3 linked regions of the Saccharomyces cerevisiae S288C genome follow. The gene in region 1 interacts genetically with each later gene. Each region holds a gene or a part of one and is shown in the gene's direction. Other genes may lie near its edges.

Region 1 (11,146 bases):
TCCAGGTTAACAATTTCATCAACAACCCAGTTATTTGAAGGATCAATAACTTTTTTGTTACCATTAATTTCTTGTTGTTGGAACCCCCAATCCGGTAACAACTCGTCGTTGTGAGTCCACAAAGCTACGGAGGTATCAACGTGGAAAAGACGGAAAGAAACCGTTTTACTCTTTAAAACGTGACCTTCATCTGATTTTTTCAGTGGTTGGAATGCAAAAAGTGTTTCAGGATATAATTCCCCATCACCTTCTTCTAAAGTTACTGTAGTGATTTCTTCATTGGTAGGGTAAAATGGGGAGGCGACATCATGGGCTAACAAGTAGGTATCGGTGGCTACATGTCTCAATCTTATATGCTGGTTCAATAGAACAGCTTGTCCTTTACCGACATCACTGCCATGGGGTGGTAACACTTCCCATTGATTGTTGAAGTCAGGATGCGTGTAACCAGTAACTTGTTGACCAGCGGATGAGATACGACCATCTTCATACCGTTGTGGGTAACGTGCCAAGTGAGAATGTAAGAATGCGTCAGTATCTTGATGTTTGATAGTGATAATATCAAAATAATTGACGGTTTTAGAGTCAACACTTAAGGGAGAGTCCTTAAGTGTTTCTTGAAATTCAGCAGACATAAATGCGTCGCCAGGACCTGAAGTATTCAAAACGGTGAAATGAACCCAGAACCAAAACAAGTAAATCACAAATGGAATCAAAACTAAACCATTCAGCCTTTTACTAAAATGTCTCATGAACTGCCTCAAGGACAAACCCGCCTTGATGTCCAGTAATTGCCATAAGTTGACCACAGCAGCAAAACCAATAGCGGAATATGTCATAACACCAACATATTTTGTGGAAATCACGAAGGATAAAGACAAACCAGTAGCGTGTAACCAAATATACCAACTCCATGTAAAAGGTTGACGCAATTGGCACTTGTAGAAACGAACGTAACAATACATAGTAGCAGCAATAGAAATAATCAAGATGGCATCCAGTAAAATCAGCCTAGTTTCTGTAACATGCGCAGTATCGATTGCAACCAAGAGAGATGCAAACGCACATGTAATAGCCCTGAAATTCAGTTCCTTCAAAGTGTTGAACATAATTGGTACAGTCAATGTGCCCAATATCGCGTTGAAAGAACGGTACGCGATATATGGAGCTGGATGAGTTTCATAAGAATACCCAATCTCATCAAACTTAAAGGAACCATCATAGCCACATAACCAACCAATGAAGGCAATCATCATCTTAGCAAAAGGGGGATGAACGTCAAAGAAATAAGACCTTTCTAAGTAATACGATGCAAATTTCCCGAAATGTACCTCATCAAAAACAACTTCTTTTGGATACCAGATCTTATAAAATCTAGCAGCAAACGCTAATAAGGTAACAATTGTTACCCAAAAGCTATAACGTGATTCCGGTTCCGGTAGTGGCTGCAAGAGCCAATGTTCAGCAACTTGTTCACATTTAGGCGCGGCCTTCGTGTACTTCAACGAAGGATCGTCTACGTCCTTAGTGGAAGGTGGTAACTTCCCATGGTTACGTTTTTTGGGCACAGACATCTGTACTTCTGTGGACTGTCAGAAAATATCTTGGTAAAATATGTATCGACAAACTTCTTAGTACAGTTAATATAGAAGTAAGGATTCGAGTGAGTAGTTTTGATAAAGCGCGTTTCATTATGCATATTTTTCATTTTTTATTTTTTTTGTCAAGAAATACACGAATAACATCACGAAATTTATCGACAGAATAATGGAAGAAACTATTTAAAAAGACGGTAGAGACTAAAAAAGGAAAGAAAGGACAAGTAGGAAGATCAGCGTACGATGAAAAGCATTTTCAAGGTTAGAGGATGTGTATCGCATGCTGCTCAATTTTGCCAAAAAAGAACCGTGGTGAGTACCGGCACTAGTAACACCGCAACAGCCGGTGCAGTGAGGAAAAGTTTCAACAGTACCGAAACCAAGCCTGTATTTGCAACAAAATCGGAAGCTGGCAATGGAAGCCACATGAAGGAATATTCAAGCGGCATTAACTCTAAACTCGGCGGGACCCCTTTGGAAACCCGCAGCACCGCCGATGATTCTTTGAACAATAGTTATAAGCAAGTCAAGGGAGACATTGACTGGTATACTTCATGGTATGGCCTAGGTATGAAGCCCTTTGAAGCAAAAGTGCAAAAGGATCTAATCGAGCCTCTGGACCCTAAGGATATAGAAATCAAGCCAGATGGTTTGATATACTTGCCTGAAATTAAATACCGTAGAATACTGAACAAAGCTTTTGGCGCAGGCGGTTGGGGGCTAGTGCCAAGATCACAAACAATAGTGACATCCAAGCTGGTCACTAGGGAGTACGGTCTTATTTGCCATGGTCAATTGATCAGTGTGGCAAGAGGCGAACAAGACTATTTCAACGAAGCCGGCATACCAACTGCTACAGAAGGTTGCAAAAGTAATGCATTAATGAGGTGTTGCAAAGATCTCGGCGTCGGTTCTGAATTATGGGACCCTGTTTTCATAAAGAAATTCAAAGTGGATCATTGTACTGAGAAGTTTGTGGAACATGTTACCACCAAGAGAAAGAAGAAAATTTGGTTAAGAAAGGACAGACAAGTTGAATATCCTTATAAATAGTCAATATGCGAACCATATAAGCTAATTTTAGTAAGTATATATATTCCAATACAATCACACACACACACACACACACACACACACACACATACGCATATATTGTGGTAGTGCGTAGTGTCAGTACGTCTTATCATACGCCTTCTATTTCAGGGTTAGCGTATTTTTACTATCAATATTACAATACGGATATATATACACACACCTAATATATATATTATACGTTATATTACTGCCAGTCGAAAAAGGAAGATACGATGTATTATTTTAAAATTCAATTTCTAATAAACATTAATGGAGATATACAAAAGAAGAAAATAATTAAGTTGTTATGAAATTTATAAACCTTGTTGAGCTCTTCTTCTGTCACGTTCTTCAGCAATAGACAACTTGATACCCTTACCCTTTGGCAAAGAAATGTAAGGCTTACCTTGTTCACCGATGACGAAGACATTGTTCAATCTAGTGACGAAAGTGTTGTCCAAGGAGTCCTTGATGTGAACTAAATCGAAACCACCATCGTGTCTTTCCTTGTGAACGATAGTACCGATACGACCCAAGTTACGACCACCAGTAACGTAAACCAACTTACCGGCATCGAACTTGATGAAATCAGTAATCTTACCAGAGGCCAAGTCGATCTTAACAGTGTCATTGACCTTGATGTTTGGGTCTGGGTATCTGATAGTTCTACCATCGTGGGTAACAACGTATGGAACACCCTTCTTACCTAATTGAACCTTCTTGACCTTACCCAACTTGTAAGAAGCTTCTTCATCGGTGATACGGTGGACAGCGAATCTACCCTTGACATCGTAGACCAATCTGAAGTTTTCATTGGTGGCATCTAGAGTGATGACATCCATGAAACCAGCTGGGTAGGTAGTGTCGGTTCTAACCTTACCGTCCACTTTAACGTGACGTTGCATCAAGATAGCCTTGACTTCACGGCCGTTCAAAGCATACTTTAATCTGTTTCTTAGAAAGACAATCAATGGCAAGGATTCACGCAATTTGTGTGGACCAGCAGATGGTCTTGGGGCGTAACAACCGGACAACTTGTCCAATAACCAGTGGTGTGGAGCTGCTAATCTTTTTAGATGCTTCTTTCTGTACGGAAAAAAATGAGAAAAAAGGGCAAAAATGAATGTATAATGAAGATACAGACATTTTATTTTTTTCATTGTGCTCGTTAGTAAATCATTACTCGTAAAATATTTGTACAATCCCAGGATGATCTAAAATTAAATGGACATAAACTGGTTCATTGTTGTTCCTATTCGTTTGGTTAAGACTCCACTTGTTTCTTGTCTATCATTCTTCTCATCCTTGCGTAATTATAATCAAAGTCTATAGTCAAACATACGGTCCTCTAGCCATCTTTGCGTATTGATTCTTTGGTTTGTTTTGGGCAGAAAAATCGCTATATAAGAAAGTATTTCAACACTAGATTAAATTATAGTATAATTTTTAATATACTAGTATTGCCGACAATCTCTGAAATTTCAATACTACCACACAGAACAGGACTTGCCAGGGCCAGTCCGAGCCAGCCTAACTCCAAGACCACGTACTAAGTGAATTGCTACTCCCCCTTACCACGACTACAAAGAGCTACACGGCCTCCCGGCCTAGGCCGCTGCTACTTTCAACTGATGTCACCGAAAAAAATAACGGAAAACGACAGTTCAAGAAAAAAAGAACGCAGGAAGAAAAAGGAAGCAAAATTACAGAATGTACGGCTGTTTAAAAATAAATAGTGGATGCATGGGTGCTTCCACGCGTCTCTGGGAAAAAAAACCAGGATATTTTAATGTTTGTTTATTTGTTTATTTCCTGCTGAACTGAATATTGAAAACATCGAAAAAATGCAGTACCCAGCTCTCCATTAGGACTTTTTACGTAATGACGAAAATGGACAAGCTGCGCAGGAAAGGACTACGAAAAGTATGCTGCCATAATGACAAGATAAGGCGCAACACACGTAATCATGACTAATGGTTGCACAGACGGTAGGCCAGGAGAAGGATTAGATCTCGTGCCGAACGACAGCAAGCTAGCTAGACTATGTTATCTGAGTGTAAACGAAAGCGCAGCAGTCTCTGCAAGAGCACGTGCGACGTGTCTGGTGTGCAAAAACCCTCTAGAGAAACATTGCTAAGGTTTACCGATGCAGGAAATCTTTAGTTCTAAAAGATGAAAGTCGGAAAAGCCAAAAAGAAACCGGAAATCTTCTCTGCGCATTGTTCTGTGGCCACGGCCTTCCTGGACCCGTCCTTCTTTTACCCGAACTTTGTCGCCCAAAAGGCATCTCATTATAATGACAAAACTGGATCTGCAAATATTTGGACATATATCTCCAGAACGGGCTCACTTCTCCTCTTCACCCAGGTGGTATATAGGAAGAGTAAGTGGACGCATCAGTCCGCGACATTTGCGGACTGTATATATTGCCAGTCAGGGCAGTCGCCAAGTGTGTCTCTTTCGTGTAGCGACGCACGTCAGACATGGATGCAACATCGAGGATGGAGCAGCCTGATGTCTTTGTAAGCAAACTCTACCACCTGCTGCAGGGGAACGCTTACTCGAACATAATACAATGGTCGACTGATGGCAGCAAGCTCGTCATTTGGAATCCGGACCAGTTCACCAAAGTCATCCTAGAGCGATTTTTTGGTATTCACACCTTTGCAGCATTCGTTAAGCAATTGAGCAAATATAACTTCCAGAAGGCGGGCCGCCCGGACTGCGTGGAGTTTTCCAACATTCATTTTCAAAAAGATAACATTAATAGCCTCTCACTGGTTAAAGCTCATCAGTCTGCCGCCACTCCCAATGTCGCCGCCGTCAATAATATGAATAAGCAGTGTACTTTTCACTGGGACCCTTTCAAAGTGAACTCCATTCTAAGCAAGGCCATCGGCAAGCCTTCCTTCGAGAAATTAGTGAAAAATGTTGACAGGCTTCAGGGCAATCTTGATGAGCTTAAGTCGACAAACGCAGATAGTCTGCGTATTATAAGGGAAATTAACGCCAGCTTACAGACAATCTCCTACCACCAGTTTCACGCCTACCAAACCGCTAACTTCCTTCAAGAAAATTTTGAAGCCATCAAAAAGGTTGTATGCCCGGACTCTTGTCTACAACACCAGCAACGCCAACCAAAGCGCCCCAAACGCTACTCGTTGCTGTTACTAATACCAAACGCATCCGAATTGTCAGAAACACCTTTGATGCGCTTCGCCGGCGTGTTCGAATTTATGAACTGCTCTTTGGATACGGCCACTCAGTGGCACCCGCAGTTGCATCCCGAGGCATACGACCTTCTTTTCGTCACCGTGTCGCCCAACATGCAACAAGAACATCTCATCTACTTCAAGAGACTGAGAAACCTACTCCCAAGCTTTCCTGTAATAGCCATTATTAACAGACCCGTCTCCCCTCAAGATACCAGCATTGCTCCCTCCAACTACTCTCGCTATTATTTCCACCATTTTTTGCAGTTGGGGTTCAGTGACATCCTAGTTAGCCCCTTCACCCCAACACAACTTATAACGCTCCTTTCCAAACATCTTCGAACGTGAAAACCTGCCTCTGAGGGTCATTCACGACCTAGCATACCACTATATACGTGTACGATTTTTTTTTTCTGTGACCGCACTACACCAAAGTTTAATGTTCCATTGGCCCCGGAACCATTCTTGCAAACGGCGTTCTTTTTCCGCTTTCGGGTGACACTTAATTTAGCTTCTTTTCCCTCTCTGACACCTCTTGTTATCTAATCTGTAGATCCGACTCTTTTTCTTTTTGGTGTCGTTCTTCTATGTCCGTTTTTCTGTCAACAAAAACGGAAATAATAGGTAGAAATTAAGAGCCGTACGTGAGTGAGAGGAGATCCGAAATGAGCTGACAGTATAACTAATATAAGCTTACAAGATATTCGACTATTTCCTGGGAAAAAATTCATTCCTTTGAGAAATCCTTAATAAAAACAGACTAACTACTAAAATTTTAGAAATTTAAGGGAAAGCATCTCCACGAGTTTTAAGAACGATATGACCTTGGCACCCCTAGACGCCTCCAAAGTTAAGATAACTACCACACAACATGCATCTAAGCCAAAACCGAACAGTGAGTTAGTGTTTGGCAAGAGCTTCACGGACCACATGTTAACTGCGGAATGGACAGCTGAAAAAGGGTGGGGTACCCCAGAGATTAAACCTTATCAAAATCTGTCTTTAGACCCTTCCGCGGTGGTTTTCCATTATGCTTTTGAGCTATTCGAAGGGATGAAGGCTTACAGAACGGTGGACAACAAAATTACAATGTTTCGTCCAGATATGAATATGAAGCGCATGAATAAGTCTGCTCAGAGAATCTGTTTGCCAACGTTCGACCCAGAAGAGTTGATTACCCTAATTGGGAAACTGATCCAGCAAGATAAGTGCTTAGTTCCTGAAGGAAAAGGTTACTCTTTATATATCAGGCCTACATTAATCGGCACTACGGCCGGTTTAGGGGTTTCCACGCCTGATAGAGCCTTGCTATATGTCATTTGCTGCCCTGTGGGTCCTTATTACAAAACTGGATTTAAGGCGGTCAGACTGGAAGCCACTGATTATGCCACAAGAGCTTGGCCAGGAGGCTGTGGTGACAAGAAACTAGGTGCAAACTACGCCCCCTGCGTCCTGCCACAATTGCAAGCTGCTTCAAGGGGTTACCAACAAAATTTATGGCTATTTGGTCCAAATAACAACATTACTGAAGTCGGCACCATGAATGCTTTTTTCGTGTTTAAAGATAGTAAAACGGGCAAGAAGGAACTAGTTACTGCTCCACTAGACGGTACCATTTTGGAAGGTGTTACTAGGGATTCCATTTTAAATCTTGCTAAAGAAAGACTCGAACCAAGTGAATGGACCATTAGTGAACGCTACTTCACTATAGGCGAAGTTACTGAGAGATCCAAGAACGGTGAACTACTTGAAGCCTTTGGTTCTGGTACTGCTGCGATTGTTTCTCCCATTAAGGAAATCGGCTGGAAAGGCGAACAAATTAATATTCCGTTGTTGCCCGGCGAACAAACCGGTCCATTGGCCAAAGAAGTTGCACAATGGATTAATGGAATCCAATATGGCGAGACTGAGCATGGCAATTGGTCAAGGGTTGTTACTGATTTGAACTGAAGTATCGCTATTGCTACGTAAAGTAATTAAAAGTTAAAAAGAATAAAACTAGAGCGTTTTTTCTACTGAGTTAAGGGGTCATGTCAGAATATAACATACCCTTTGACATTGTATATATGAATTCCTGGATTTTGCAGTGATCTGATAAAAAATGTATGTCGAAACCTGCAATTATCCTTTCGTTTTTTTTCTTGTCATCTAGTGCTGGCCTATCGGTATCAAGGACATCTTTTGCGCGGATAGAAAAGGGCCCATACATACCTTAGAAGCAACTCAAGACAATTCATGTACTTTTTAAACCAACTAATATTTCAAGACGTTTCCGTAATGTCGGTGGATAAAAGAGAAGATATGAGCAGATCTTTCCAAAAATGTTTAAACTTGAGATACCCTATCATCCAGGCCCCTATGGCGGGGGTCACGACTATTGAAATGGCCGCTAAGGCTTGTATTGCGGGCGCCATAGCTTCACTACCCCTATCCCACTTAGACTTCAGAAAGGTCAATGATATTGAAAAGCTTAAACTGATGGTTTCACAATTCAGAGATCAAGTAGCCGATGAATCTTTAGAGGGCAATCTCAACCTAAACTTTTTTTGCCATGATATCGTTGATAAACCGACCGATCTTCAAACAGCTAACTGGGCGAAGCTATACAGAAAGTCTATGAATGTGCCGATTGATATGAATGAGATTAAATTCGATAATGGTAATGTATCTTTTAAGGCATTTGAAAAAGAAAATGCTCTTCAAGATTTTTTCCAGTACCTATCAGATGGCTTTAGGCCTAAAATCATTAGTTTCCATTTTGGCCATCCGTCGAAATCTACAATAGAATATTTACAAAAAATTGGAATTCTAATTTTTGTGACTGCCACCTCTGTAAGAGAAGTTCGATTGTTAGCACGTCTCGGCATTAATGGCATAGTGTGTCAAGGCTATGAAGCGGGAGGACATAGAGGAAATTTCTTAGTAAATGACCCCAAAGATGATGAAAACTTATCAACTGTACAATTGGTGAAAAGAACAGTTGATGAACTTGCTGAAATGAAAAATAAAGGTCTTATACATGCTACTCCCTTTGTCATTGCAGCAGGTGGTATAATGGATTCCAAAGATATATCATACATGTTATCACAGCAAGCAGACGCTGTTCAAGTGGGGACTGCTTTTCTTGGTTGCAGTGAATCCAATGCATCAAAAAACTTTTCAAGCCCCTTCACTCGAGAAACAACAACTAAAATGGTTAATATAATATCAGGAAAGCCTGCAAGGACCATCTCTACTCCTTTTATCGAAAAAGTCATTGCTAATTTTCAAGGTGAGGAGCTTCCTCCATATGGCTACATGTATAGTGCTTTCAAGCAAGTAAGAAAAAAGTATCCAGAATTGGCTAACTTTATTTTAGCTGGACAAGGATTTCAGAATGTCCAATCAGGAATCACAACAGACAAGAAAATTGAAACTATGGGCGCAAGATTGAAAATTGACGGAAAATAATATAAATACATATAAAAGACCTGATACTTATTGACACAAATTTTCTGGATGACCTTTTTCTATATGATATATATACGTCGCTATTGGATCGTAGGTTACTTGGCCATTATTTGAGCGTAACCGTTCACAGGATGTGGGCTTTAAGGAATACAAAATCCAAATATGGAAAAAATTTGATATCAATTTAGGGCTTTAATATCTAAAGGTATTTATTTTTTTCACAGTTTTTTTTCTGTTAAGCTGTCTGCAATAAGGAATGCTCCTGACATGAAATTCGAAAAGGACCGGAAATAGTTGGAGCACAAGACTGCAAACTAAAAAACAAATTTCTTTGGAATTTCCTTACGCTTATAGTATATATCTTATAAATATTAAAATTAAGAGAATTCAATTATTTTACATCATTTATACAACTGTACAGGGCCGCACATGATCACTATAACAATAGAGCGGCGGCACCAGCAATAGCAGCGGCACCGAAAACACCGTTATTGAACTTGTTAGCACCGTTAGTGGTAACGTCAATAACACGAGATGCTGACGATGTGACAGAAGTAGCTGTAGATTGAGCTTTGGAGGAGACTGGCTTAGTCACAGTTGAACAGACGTTATTTGAACAACTAGTTATGGTAGTTTCAACAGTGGAAGCTTGAGTCTTTGTGACGGTGCTGTCAGTACCATTTTGGACCACTGGAGTGACTGAGATAGAAGATGTAGAAGAAACTGGAGCTGTGGTATTGGCAAAACTAGCAGAGCTTGCAACAGAGCTTGCAACAGAGCTTGCAACAGAACTTTCAGCAGAACTTGCAATGGTGCTTGCAGCAGAGCTAGATTCAGATGAAACAGTAGCTTGGGTGGAAGCAGCGTTTGAGCTGGTCTCTGCTGAACTTTCAGAGGAGCTAGAAGACTCAGTGGCGGCACTAGAAGCTTCTGAAGTGGAGGTGGAAGAAGCCTCTGTGGTAGAAGCTGGTACTGCAGTAGCAATACCTTCATTCGCAAGTGCTTCGGAAATAGCACCCATCAATCTAGTAGAGTACCATGGCACACCGGTGATCATTCTGGTCACTTCATCACCTGAAATACCAGTCAACATGGTGGTGAAATCGCCACCGGCAAAAACAGCCTTGGCAATTTCAGGTGGGTATGTTTCAGTCTTATGCAAAGCCTGGAAAGCGTAATATTCAGATAAATGGGCGCCAATATCAGAAACGTAAACAGCCAATTCAATCAAATTGACCCTTTCATCATAAGGGGATAGAGTGGTGGTCACGGATGCGGCGGTTGCACTTGCCACTAATGCTGCGGCGACAGCTAATATACTAATTCTAGACATTACTTGGGGTATATATTTAGTATGCTACACTTTTATCTGAAAAAGAAGAAATAGTACCGTGTCGACATAAAAATAGTATCATTTAGTCGTGCTATTTTATACGCAGTATTTTCAATCATTTCTATTCAATGAGTACCCAGGGACCCTTTTGCATTTCTAGCATTCTCTGTTCCTGAACGATGTTTTGTTAGAGGCCTCGTATAGATCTTGGCATTTTCAAAGGCACGCGTTGTATTGTTTTATTGCCTATCAAAGGAACGCGCAGGAAACATGAAACTTTTCAGAGGAGCGTCTACGGAGGATACATTCATCAATTTTTCCTCATAAATTAAACGATGTGTACAAAAAGGACGAATTGACCCCGTCGTTCGGCGAAACCTTATGTATTTTCCTGGCCATATGTGCTAAACGACAGATAAAATAGGAAATTCTCCCCATTTTCGACTAATAAGATAAGCGGGAGATAGCATCATATGAAC
Region 2 (3,487 bases), on another chromosome or scaffold:
GCATGAACTCGTAAGTGACCAAATGCCCTGTATTACTCCTATGATGGACAGTTTTTCGTTTAAAGAGGGTATTGAATCAGTAGTGCCAAAATAATGGAACAGCAGCAACTGCTTGAAAGTGTCATTTTCGTTGGTAGATCTTGATGGATCAAAAACCGTAATATAGTGTAGTCTCATATCCGTCTTTCATATATCAATTTAATAGTTGTACGATTTAGAATGTATTTTTGGTTCCACGTCAAATGAAACTATTTCCCTATTGCTACTACATATTATTGTCATCGCAATAAAATAGGCTAAATAGTTACCCGCTCGTTTCGTCTTTTGTTCGGGCGAGAGCTTCATTACTAACTACTATTGCATTTTGTTTATTGATTTGTTGCCATGAGTAGCAGCAGTCTGAAGGGGTTACCAAACGTTAGCTCGTCTATCAAGCACGCCAAGGTTCAACGACACTACTTTTGTGTAAGATGTCGGACCAGGATAATACCCAGACTTCTTCAAGCAAGTTGGCACCTCACCATAATATTTTTATGGCAAACTTGGAAAGTTCCCCCACAAAAGATAGAAATACCTCCAGCCAAAATGCCTCATCTTCGAGAGTCATTGAATCACTGCATGACCAGATTGATATGCTGACAAAAACAAATCTACAATTGACTACGCAATCTCAAAATTTATTGAGTAAATTGGAATTAGCACAATCCAAAGAATCAAAACTACTGGAAAATTTAAATCTGCTGAAGAACGAGAACGAAAATCTCAACTCGATATTTGAAAGAAAGAACAAGAAGCTAAAAGAGCTAGAGAAAGATTATAGCGAATTGAGTAACCGTTACAATGAACAAAAGGAGAAAATGGATCAATTGAGTAAATTGGCGAAAAATTCTAGTGCCATTGAACAATCTTGCTCTGAAAAATTGCAAAATATGGAAGTTAACTATAATTCATTATTGGAGTCACAAAATCTTTACAGAGACCACTATTCTGATGAAATTTCCAAATTAAATGAAAAAATCGGTTTGTTGGAGTTAGAGTTAAGTAATCAAAATTTAAATTATGGTTCAGATACTAGTTCAAATTCAGATATAGAATTGAATTTAAATAAATTCAATGACTCTGTGAAAGATTTGAAATCTCTGGAAACAGAAAAGGATTCAAAATTAAGCAAGATAATCACTCACTCTTTAGATGAGTTAAATCTACAAAGCTGGCTAAATCTGTACCAGACGAACGAAAATCTGATATCAACTTTTGCTGAAAAGATGGATTTGAAAGACGTCTTGAAAAGAAACGATGAGAAGATTAGTAATAAAGGCGCGGTAGTACAAACCTTGAAGAAGAATGTACAAACCCAGGTGGAAAGCAACAACGCTGACGCTTTGAGTAGCAATAATGCACAGGATATGCTTCCTATTAAGATGGTCAAATTAAGAAAGACGCCGAACACAAACGATTCATCCTCCAATGGTAATAGCAGTAACAATAAAAGAAGAAGTTTCTATACTGCGTCGCCTTTGCTGTCATCGGGTTCTATTCCAAAATCTGCATCCCCGGTTTTGCCTGGTGTTAAAAGAACTGCCTCAGTAAGAAAACCAAGCTCGAGCAGTAGTAAAACAAATGTAACGCATAATAACGATCCAAGTACATCTCCCACAATCTCAGTGCCTCCCGGTGTTACAAGAACTGTTTCCTCCACTCATAAGAAAAAGGGAAATAGTATGGTTGTTCACGGGGCCCAATCCTAGAATATGCCGACACAAGGGAGTATATATATAGGATTCATTTAGATAATAGAACAAAAGTAAATAGATGCCTCTAAGGTTTTATAGACACGAATCCATATTTTTCACTTTCGGTCACTCACAACGGTTTTTTCTCTACTATAATGTGGCTGAAATTAAACGAACAGGCCAAAATGTGGTACGCAATAGTAGCCAGTAGGTGAATTAACCATAAATAATTACGCTAATTTTGCCTTGGTAAATTTCATAAGACCAATGATAGCAGGTGCGACTGCTCCGTCAAGTCAGCATGAAATTTTGATCGCATCGAATCTCATCAAGAAGCCATCAACGTCTCAAAATAAAACGCCGACAGCTCAATCCAGTTCAGGTAACAATGGAGCTGCTGATGGTGCACCGCAGGGTTACCATCATCACCATCATCACCATCGTCATTTATGGTGGCCTCGGACAACAGACCATCAATATTGGTGTGTCTTGAGGAAAAACCAATTTGCCTATTACAAAACTCGGGATGAAAGAGAGGCTATAAGTGTCATACCGAGATTTGACATACTTAATTTTAAGATAAGCGAGCTCGATGGTATATTAACTGTTTATACTCCATCCAAGGATTTAATATTCAAATTTCCACGAGGGCAAAATGAGAAGGTTGGTATGGAACTGATGCATAATTGGAAAATTGCCCTTGAAAAATTCCTCTCTAGTCCTAGTGGCAACGAAAGTGTCACTACAGGTAGTGATTATGATGAAGAAGAGGATGATGATGATTTAATTGTAGTTGACGAAAAGGCGGGTCCTTCTAGCAGCAAGCATTCTTGCAGTTTGACGATGGATGAGCAACTGTCTCGTGAAGATAAAGAATTTTATAGGATGTTCGATCCAAGAAATGCAGAGCACCAGGTTTGTTCTGGGATTCTTTACACAAAAGTGAAAAAGAAGAAACTGTTCAATAGGGCTAAATGGCAAAAGTTCAATGTGGAATTGACTAATACTTCGTTCAATTTATACTCTTTCAAGACTGGGAAGTTAAAGAAAAGCATTAAATTGGATAAAATTATCGATTGTATTGAACTTGATAATAATTCGAAGATGAAAAATGACGACACTAATTTTGCGCTAATTACATTTGATGAAAGGTTATCTTTTAAAGCCGCTAACGATCAAGATATGGTGGATTGGATAATAAATTTCAAGAGTGGAATTTTGATAAGAAAAAAATTAAAGGCCGAAAATATATAAGCAATGCCAATGATGAATATGTATTGACTTTTTTTTTCTTTGTACTATTAAATAATACGTGTAATTGTTTTCCTTACGTCTAGTTAAAAAACTATTTATTTATTTGTATTTTAATGATAATAAGCACTTTTTTCCTCGCTGAAAATTAAGGGAAAGGACCAAATACAAAAGTGATTAGAAGGATAACGAGTAGAGAAAAAGGGAAGTAAAAGTTAAAAACTAGAATCCTAGTATGACATGCATTGCCCAATTTGCCACCATAGAGCGCATGTAGTGTACTGTGCACATTGTATCAATACGAGCCCAAGTCTGCTACTGAAGCTAAAACTAGATTTAATTTTATTAAAGGATGAGAATAAAGAACTTAACGGGAAAGTCGAACAAATATTAAACGAGGCCATGAACTATGACCAGTTAGATATCAAGAGGATGGAGAAAAAGAAAGATCCCCTGATGAATAGTCTCATGAAGTTAGATGTTTTACGAATGAAAAAGAATAA
Region 3 (5,937 bases), on another chromosome or scaffold:
CTACGAAAAATTGAAAAGACTTATACCTTAAAGAAAGGGTTAGGAAATCTTGTAGTTGATCATCCTGAATTGAGGAGCATCATTGAGGATTTCCAAATTCTTGGCCAGGATATAAGGATCGCACGTCGTAAAGCAGAAACGCTTATGGCCGAAGGAAACGGTAGTCCCTCTTTGTCATCCTCCTCTTCCGTTTTGGGCCTTGGGACAGGAAATGGTTTGCGTTTTCCAAAACTTTGGAGAATGGGTTCCAAAAGAGATAAATTGAAAGAAGCTGACGAAAAGGAGGCTAAAATCAACAAACAGGCTGATAATATCAGACGTGCTAGGAAATTAGAAGAAGAGAAAAAGTTAGGAGCAAAACTTCAGTATGAGAGGGACTTAGAACTTCAAAGGGAAAAATTGATCGAGTTAAAGGTTAAAGAAAAGGTCGAATTTGAAGTGGCCCAAAAGTTGGAGGAGGAGAGAGTTAAGAGAGAGGAAGAAGAACGCAAACATAGAGAACAAGCGGAGAAAAAACGTATATCAACCCTGAAACATGAGAGGAAAACAAATTACAAATCAAGGGCTAGCCTCGACAACTTCTCTTCCAGTAGCAAATCTTCTGGAAAGATTGACAACTCCCTAATTAAAAGAAGATCACTTGACGTTGTACGGACTTCAGGCGAAAGAGTACGAACGCCAGTAAGAAAATCAATGGAGGCAGCAGAAATAGGTATGGCTGCGCAGTTAGCCTGGTCTCAGTATCAAAACGGGGCAAATCATTCAAAAGTGAGTAACAACGGATCGCATTCAAATGAACTTCAGATACGTTATAAGCCAACACCACCTTTGAAAAAAAGGTATGACTACAAAAAGCCAACAGTTAATCGACCGATTATAAAATCACCTACTCTTAACAGGCAAAACAGCAAGTCTTCACGGAATATACCCACAAATAGCAAGCTGAAGGCTAGTAAATCCAATACTAACAAAGTTTCTCGTAGGAATGAGCAAAATTTGGAGCCTAGTTCACCAGTACTCGTTTCAGCGACAGCGGTACCTGCTGAATCCAAACCCATGCGTTCTAAAAGTGGTACACCCGATAAGGAAAGCTCTGCTAGTTCATCCCTCGATTCCAGAAAGGAGGATATATTAAAATCAGTGCAGGGAGTAGATCGAAACGCTTGTGAACAGATACTTAATGAAATTCTTGTTACGGATGAAAAAGTTTATTGGGAGGATATCGCAGGCTTACGGAATGCGAAGAATTCTTTGAAAGAAGCAGTGGTTTACCCATTTCTGCGGCCTGACTTATTCAAAGGGCTAAGAGAACCTGTTAGAGGTATGCTTTTGTTCGGCCCACCAGGTACAGGTAAGACAATGATTGCTAAGGCGGTTGCGACAGAGTCCAATTCCACATTTTTTAGTGTAAGTGCATCTTCTTTGCTATCGAAATACCTCGGTGAATCTGAGAAGCTGGTTAGAGCATTGTTTTACATGGCCAAAAAATTGTCACCCTCAATTATTTTCATAGATGAGATTGACTCTATGTTAACAGCTCGCTCTGATAATGAAAATGAGTCCTCGAGGAGAATTAAAACAGAACTTCTTATTCAGTGGTCCTCCCTATCTAGTGCTACTGCACAATCGGAAGACCGAAATAATACGCTTGACAGCAGAGTACTTGTCTTAGGAGCAACGAATTTGCCATGGGCGATTGATGATGCAGCAAGAAGACGATTTTCACGGAAACTATACATTCCTTTACCAGATTATGAAACTAGACTATATCATTTGAAGAGATTAATGGCCAAGCAGAAAAATAGCCTGCAAGATTTAGACTATGAATTAATAACAGAAATGACCGAGGGGTTTTCTGGTTCTGATCTTACGTCATTAGCCAAAGAAGCGGCAATGGAACCTATTAGAGATTTAGGAGATAAGTTGATGTTTGCGGATTTTGATAAAATCAGAGGAATTGAAATAAAAGATTTTCAGAATGCTCTGTTGACAATAAAAAAGAGCGTGTCGTCAGAATCTCTACAAAAATATGAGGAGTGGTCTAGTAAATTCGGTAGTAATGGTTCCTGAACGAGAGGGAGCGTCTTAATGGCAAAGAAAGGTATGAGAAGGAATTTTCCCCTTTCAACTTCTTGCTTCTGATCTAATTTTATTACCTATGTACTTTCTATGTATTATCAAAGAAAAACTAACTTCGGTTCCCTTATGATTTGATATTTTTCTTTCTTATTTACAATTAGTTTTCTCAGAACGATATTCAATACAGTTCTCCGGATTTTTGCTTACTATATTGGCCCCAAAAAAATGAAATAAAAAAAGAAAACAAAATAATATACTTGGGTGAAATAAAAAAAATAAATCAATAGCACCCAGTTAACCTAGATTCAAAGTTTCTTCTTCAATCTCAATTTATATACACGTTTGAGTTAATGGGAAAGCAAAGTCCAGCTATAAAACACTTGACCGTTAGCGCCATACCCTCCAACAACTAATTGGACCTTCTCCTTCTGCCCAAACAGTATATGCAAGGTACAGCAGTTACTACAAGCACAATATGTCTTGGATAAAAAATGTAACAGAATCTCCGACTTCACTGATTAAAAAAGTTTCATGTGGTTTGATAATTGCTGCTTCTCTATATGCCATTGCACCCAGCCTAAGTGCGCTAGTCTTTGGGGATTCTAAGCAGAGTATTGGGAAGTACACGACAGTGGGCTTAATTAATCGTGGGAATGATTGCTTCATAACATCATCTTTGCAAGGCCTGGCTGGAATACCTCGATTTGTAGAATATTTGAAACGGATAAGAACGGTCCTTCTAGAATTAGAAACTAAGCTGTCAAATAATGCAAAAGGCGACAATCCTACAGTTGATAACACTACAAGGCATAGTCGACTTGAAAACTCGTCTAATTCACTTGCCCCCTTACACGAAAGTCTTACCAGTTTAATTTTGGATTTGATATCTGTAAAAGATCGTAAGACGTCAATTTCTCCGAAAATAGTGATAAACACATTAGAGTCCATCTTTAAATCAAAGATCTCATCCAAACAAAATGATGCACATGAATTTACATTAATATTACTACAAACATTACAGGAAGAACGATCAAAATTGATCGATTACAGTAAACAGATATGTAATTTGAATATACCAAAGTTTCCATTTGAGGGCGAGACTTCCAAGTTTCTAGTATGCCTTAAATGCAAGGGTCTATCAGAACCATCATACAAACAGACTTTCATCCGCGAACTGTCCGTACCACAACAAACATCAGAGAATCTATCCAATATTCTAGCACACGATGAAACAGAAATCATAGACGACTATTCATGCCTGATCTGCCAAATAAGAGCAATCTTAAACCATGAAGAATATAGAAATTTCAAGGACTGTACCCCGGATGAAATTTTAATGTTGGACAGATTGAAAAATTATGCCACTAAAGCCCCAATTAACGAAAATTTACCATTCGAAGTAGAACAGTACGTCAAGCGTTACTCAAAGGGCAATTTGCAGGTATCTAATATAAAGGGAAAGGTCATCAAAAAAGATGTAGTAGTACAACTGCCAGACATATTAATTGTTCACTTATCGAGATCCACATTCAATGGTATTACATATTCTAGAAATCCCTGCAATGTCAAATTTGGAGAAAGAATAACACTTTCTGAATATACATTGGCTGAGAGTGGGACAATAACAGAAAACAGGCAAGTCAAATATAATTTGAAAAGTGTTGTGAAACACACCGGTTCTCATTCGAGTGGACACTATATGTGTTACAGACGCAAGACTGAAATTCGTTTCGGGAAGGAGGATGAATCTTCCTTCAGAAGAGCACCAGTTGTCAACAATGAAGTTAACAAGAATCGCGAGCAAAACGTTGCACATAATGATTACAAAAAAAGCAGATATAAAAAAGTCAAAAACGCCCTGCGGTATCCTTATTGGCAAATATCTGATACCGCCATAAAGGAATCTACCGCTTCAACTGTCTTGAATGAACAGAAATATGCTTATATGCTATACTACGAACGTGTAAATAAATAACCGCCCTGTACATAGGTATATTATAATAATAGTAAGTTACGCATCCATATCCACATCAGTATCCACTGCCATCATTTCAACATCGGTATCAGCCTCTCCATCATAAGTGTATTTCGAAGTCATTTGATTATGGAACCACTTCCACCAGCTTAGATAAGCAATTTCCTTATAATCTACCCATTTTATTATTTGTAGCCTTTTTTCTCTCAAACGTTCCCATATTTTGTCATAAAACAAGTCATTGTCGCCGCGTTTACTTGTGGAACACTTGATGATCTCTTTCAGGACCTTATCATCAATAGCGTCTGTGAATACTATATTGTTATGAATAAGATTGTTATCATCTGCATGTCCGTTCTTGGGCCCTTTATCATTTAAGGATAAATTCTCTAAATCTATAATTAGTCTTTTTCTTTTATAATTATCAATTCCTATTGGGTCTGGAGAATGATTTCTTTTCCTAATGTGGTTGGGATTGCCATTACTTCTTGCAAACCGGGAACTCATGGAATGAAAAAGTCATTTAAACGTGCCACTAGTTTTACTATCTGCTAATCGTTCTAGACGTGTAATATAAATCATATCCGAGCGCCGTTGTTGAATAATTTAATGCCTTCGTATTACATACATTTTGAAATTTGCTTTCGTAAAAGAGCGGTTCCCGGATAAAAAAGTGTGCAAATAACCGAGCCTTATTTGATTTCCAGTAAAGACCCAACCAAACGCATCATTGAAGCAAAAATAGATTAAAACTTACTGTTGTTCGTCTATTGAATTTTGTTCGGATTGGTGTGGTGTTTAATATCTTGGGCAGAAAGAGAATTGGCTTTATAGACACTCATAAAATCATCATTCCCCTTAGAGCAAAAGGTATTTTTAGAAGCCAAGAAGAAGAGCAGATAAAAAAGAAGTACGCCCTCTAACAATAAAAGTCAAATGGCTAGACAATTATTCACTCCTCCGATAACCAATCCAAGGTTTGACCCTAATCAATCCATCAGGGAATCATACAAGAACACAACTGGCGGCATGCAATTTCAACAAAATCTACATGAGGATCAAAATGACAATGAGAGAAGTAGCTGTGATGGTGATGAAAACTCTACAACAGGAGAAAGGCTAGAAAACAATAAGTCTCCTATATTGACAAAACAAGAAATTGACGAAGCGTTGAACACTGTCACCAATTTACCTCCAGAATTATCAAAATTAATTGACATTTTTATTGATGACCTAAAGCAGCCAAAGTACGTACGGCCACTATCAGTACTGCAATTGTCTAGTCTTTTCCAAAGCTTTTACATAAAATTTGATAAAGCATCATTCCAGCACGTCAGTTCAGCGAATAATAATGGCTATTATTTTTCTGGCGGGGGCTCTAGTTCATTCTTGGCTGCCAAAGAAACGTTAAGTAGTGGTCTTAGCGGAATTTTTGGCAGAAGTAGGAGTAGTAGTGGAAATTCACTTATGAGGCCAAGAAGATCTTCATCGCTTTTCAGTAATGAGTCAATATCAAATTCAACTAATGCCACACAAATGTTGTCACCTGAAGAGATAAAAAAGCAATTGAAAATCAACGAATTAAACAACATGAAAATCGAAAAATATATGGAACTTTGTGAAAGAGATGTTTTTAAGAAAATTCTTATAGTAGGCACATCCGTATCTTCACCGAATAAAATGAAAACCTTCAAACCACACCAATTACAAACTTTCAAGGTTGGAAATCTATTTAGAAACAGTGTTGAATTCACAGAATACAATAAGTTGTTGAATGAAAAAATCCTCTGTTTGTCCAAACTCTCAACAATGAATAAAATCAATTTGATAAAGTTTCTGAGTCTTAATAATGGCATTGATCCGGAACCAAAGTTTGAAGAGAT

What was found.
Region 2: mutations in MGM101 (region 1) and OPY1 together harm fitness more than expected from each alone (negative genetic interaction), as found in Saccharomyces cerevisiae (one large-scale study listed by BioGRID).
Region 3: mutations in MGM101 (region 1) and UBP16 together harm fitness more than expected from each alone (negative genetic interaction), as found in Saccharomyces cerevisiae (one large-scale study listed by BioGRID).

The regions. Positions count from the first base shown.
Region 1 is NC_001142.9:699,041-710,186, forward strand, and holds MGM101 (Mgm101p), read left to right. Parts: upstream 1-1,841; coding exon 1,842-2,651; downstream 2,652-11,146. Other genes in the region: PMT4 (dolichyl-phosphate-mannose-protein mannosyltransferase), read right to left, coding at 1-1,574; 40S ribosomal protein eS4 RPS4A, read right to left, coding at 2,987-3,758, 4,015-4,028; YJR146W (uncharacterized protein), read left to right, coding at 4,845-5,198; HMS2 (Hms2p), read left to right, coding at 5,156-6,232; branched-chain-amino-acid transaminase BAT2, read left to right, coding at 6,704-7,834; YJR149W (putative nitronate monooxygenase), read left to right, coding at 8,120-9,334; DAN1 (Dan1p), read right to left, coding at 9,771-10,667. UniProt on the Saccharomyces cerevisiae protein: Performs an essential function in the repair of oxidatively damaged mtDNA that is required for the maintenance of the mitochondrial genome. Binds to DNA.
Region 2 is NC_001134.8:493,853-497,339, reverse strand, and holds OPY1 (Opy1p), read left to right. Parts: upstream 1-2,000; coding exon 2,001-2,987; downstream 2,988-3,487. Other genes in the region: CCZ1 (Ccz1p), read right to left, coding at 1-177; SHE3 (She3p), read left to right, coding at 471-1,748; ATG14 (Atg14p), read left to right, coding at 3,225-3,487. UniProt on the Saccharomyces cerevisiae protein: Binds phosphatidylinositol 4,5-bisphosphate (PtdIns(4,5)P2/PIP2) at the cell membrane. Negatively regulates the activity of phosphatidylinositol 4-phosphate 5-kinase MSS4.
Region 3 is NC_001148.4:415,958-421,894, forward strand, and holds UBP16 (putative ubiquitin-specific protease UBP16), read left to right. Parts: upstream 1-2,554; coding exon 2,555-4,054; downstream 4,055-5,937. Other genes in the region: putative AAA family ATPase YTA6, read left to right, coding at 1-2,070; YPL071C (uncharacterized protein), read right to left, coding at 4,091-4,561; guanine nucleotide exchange factor MUK1, read left to right, coding at 4,991-5,937.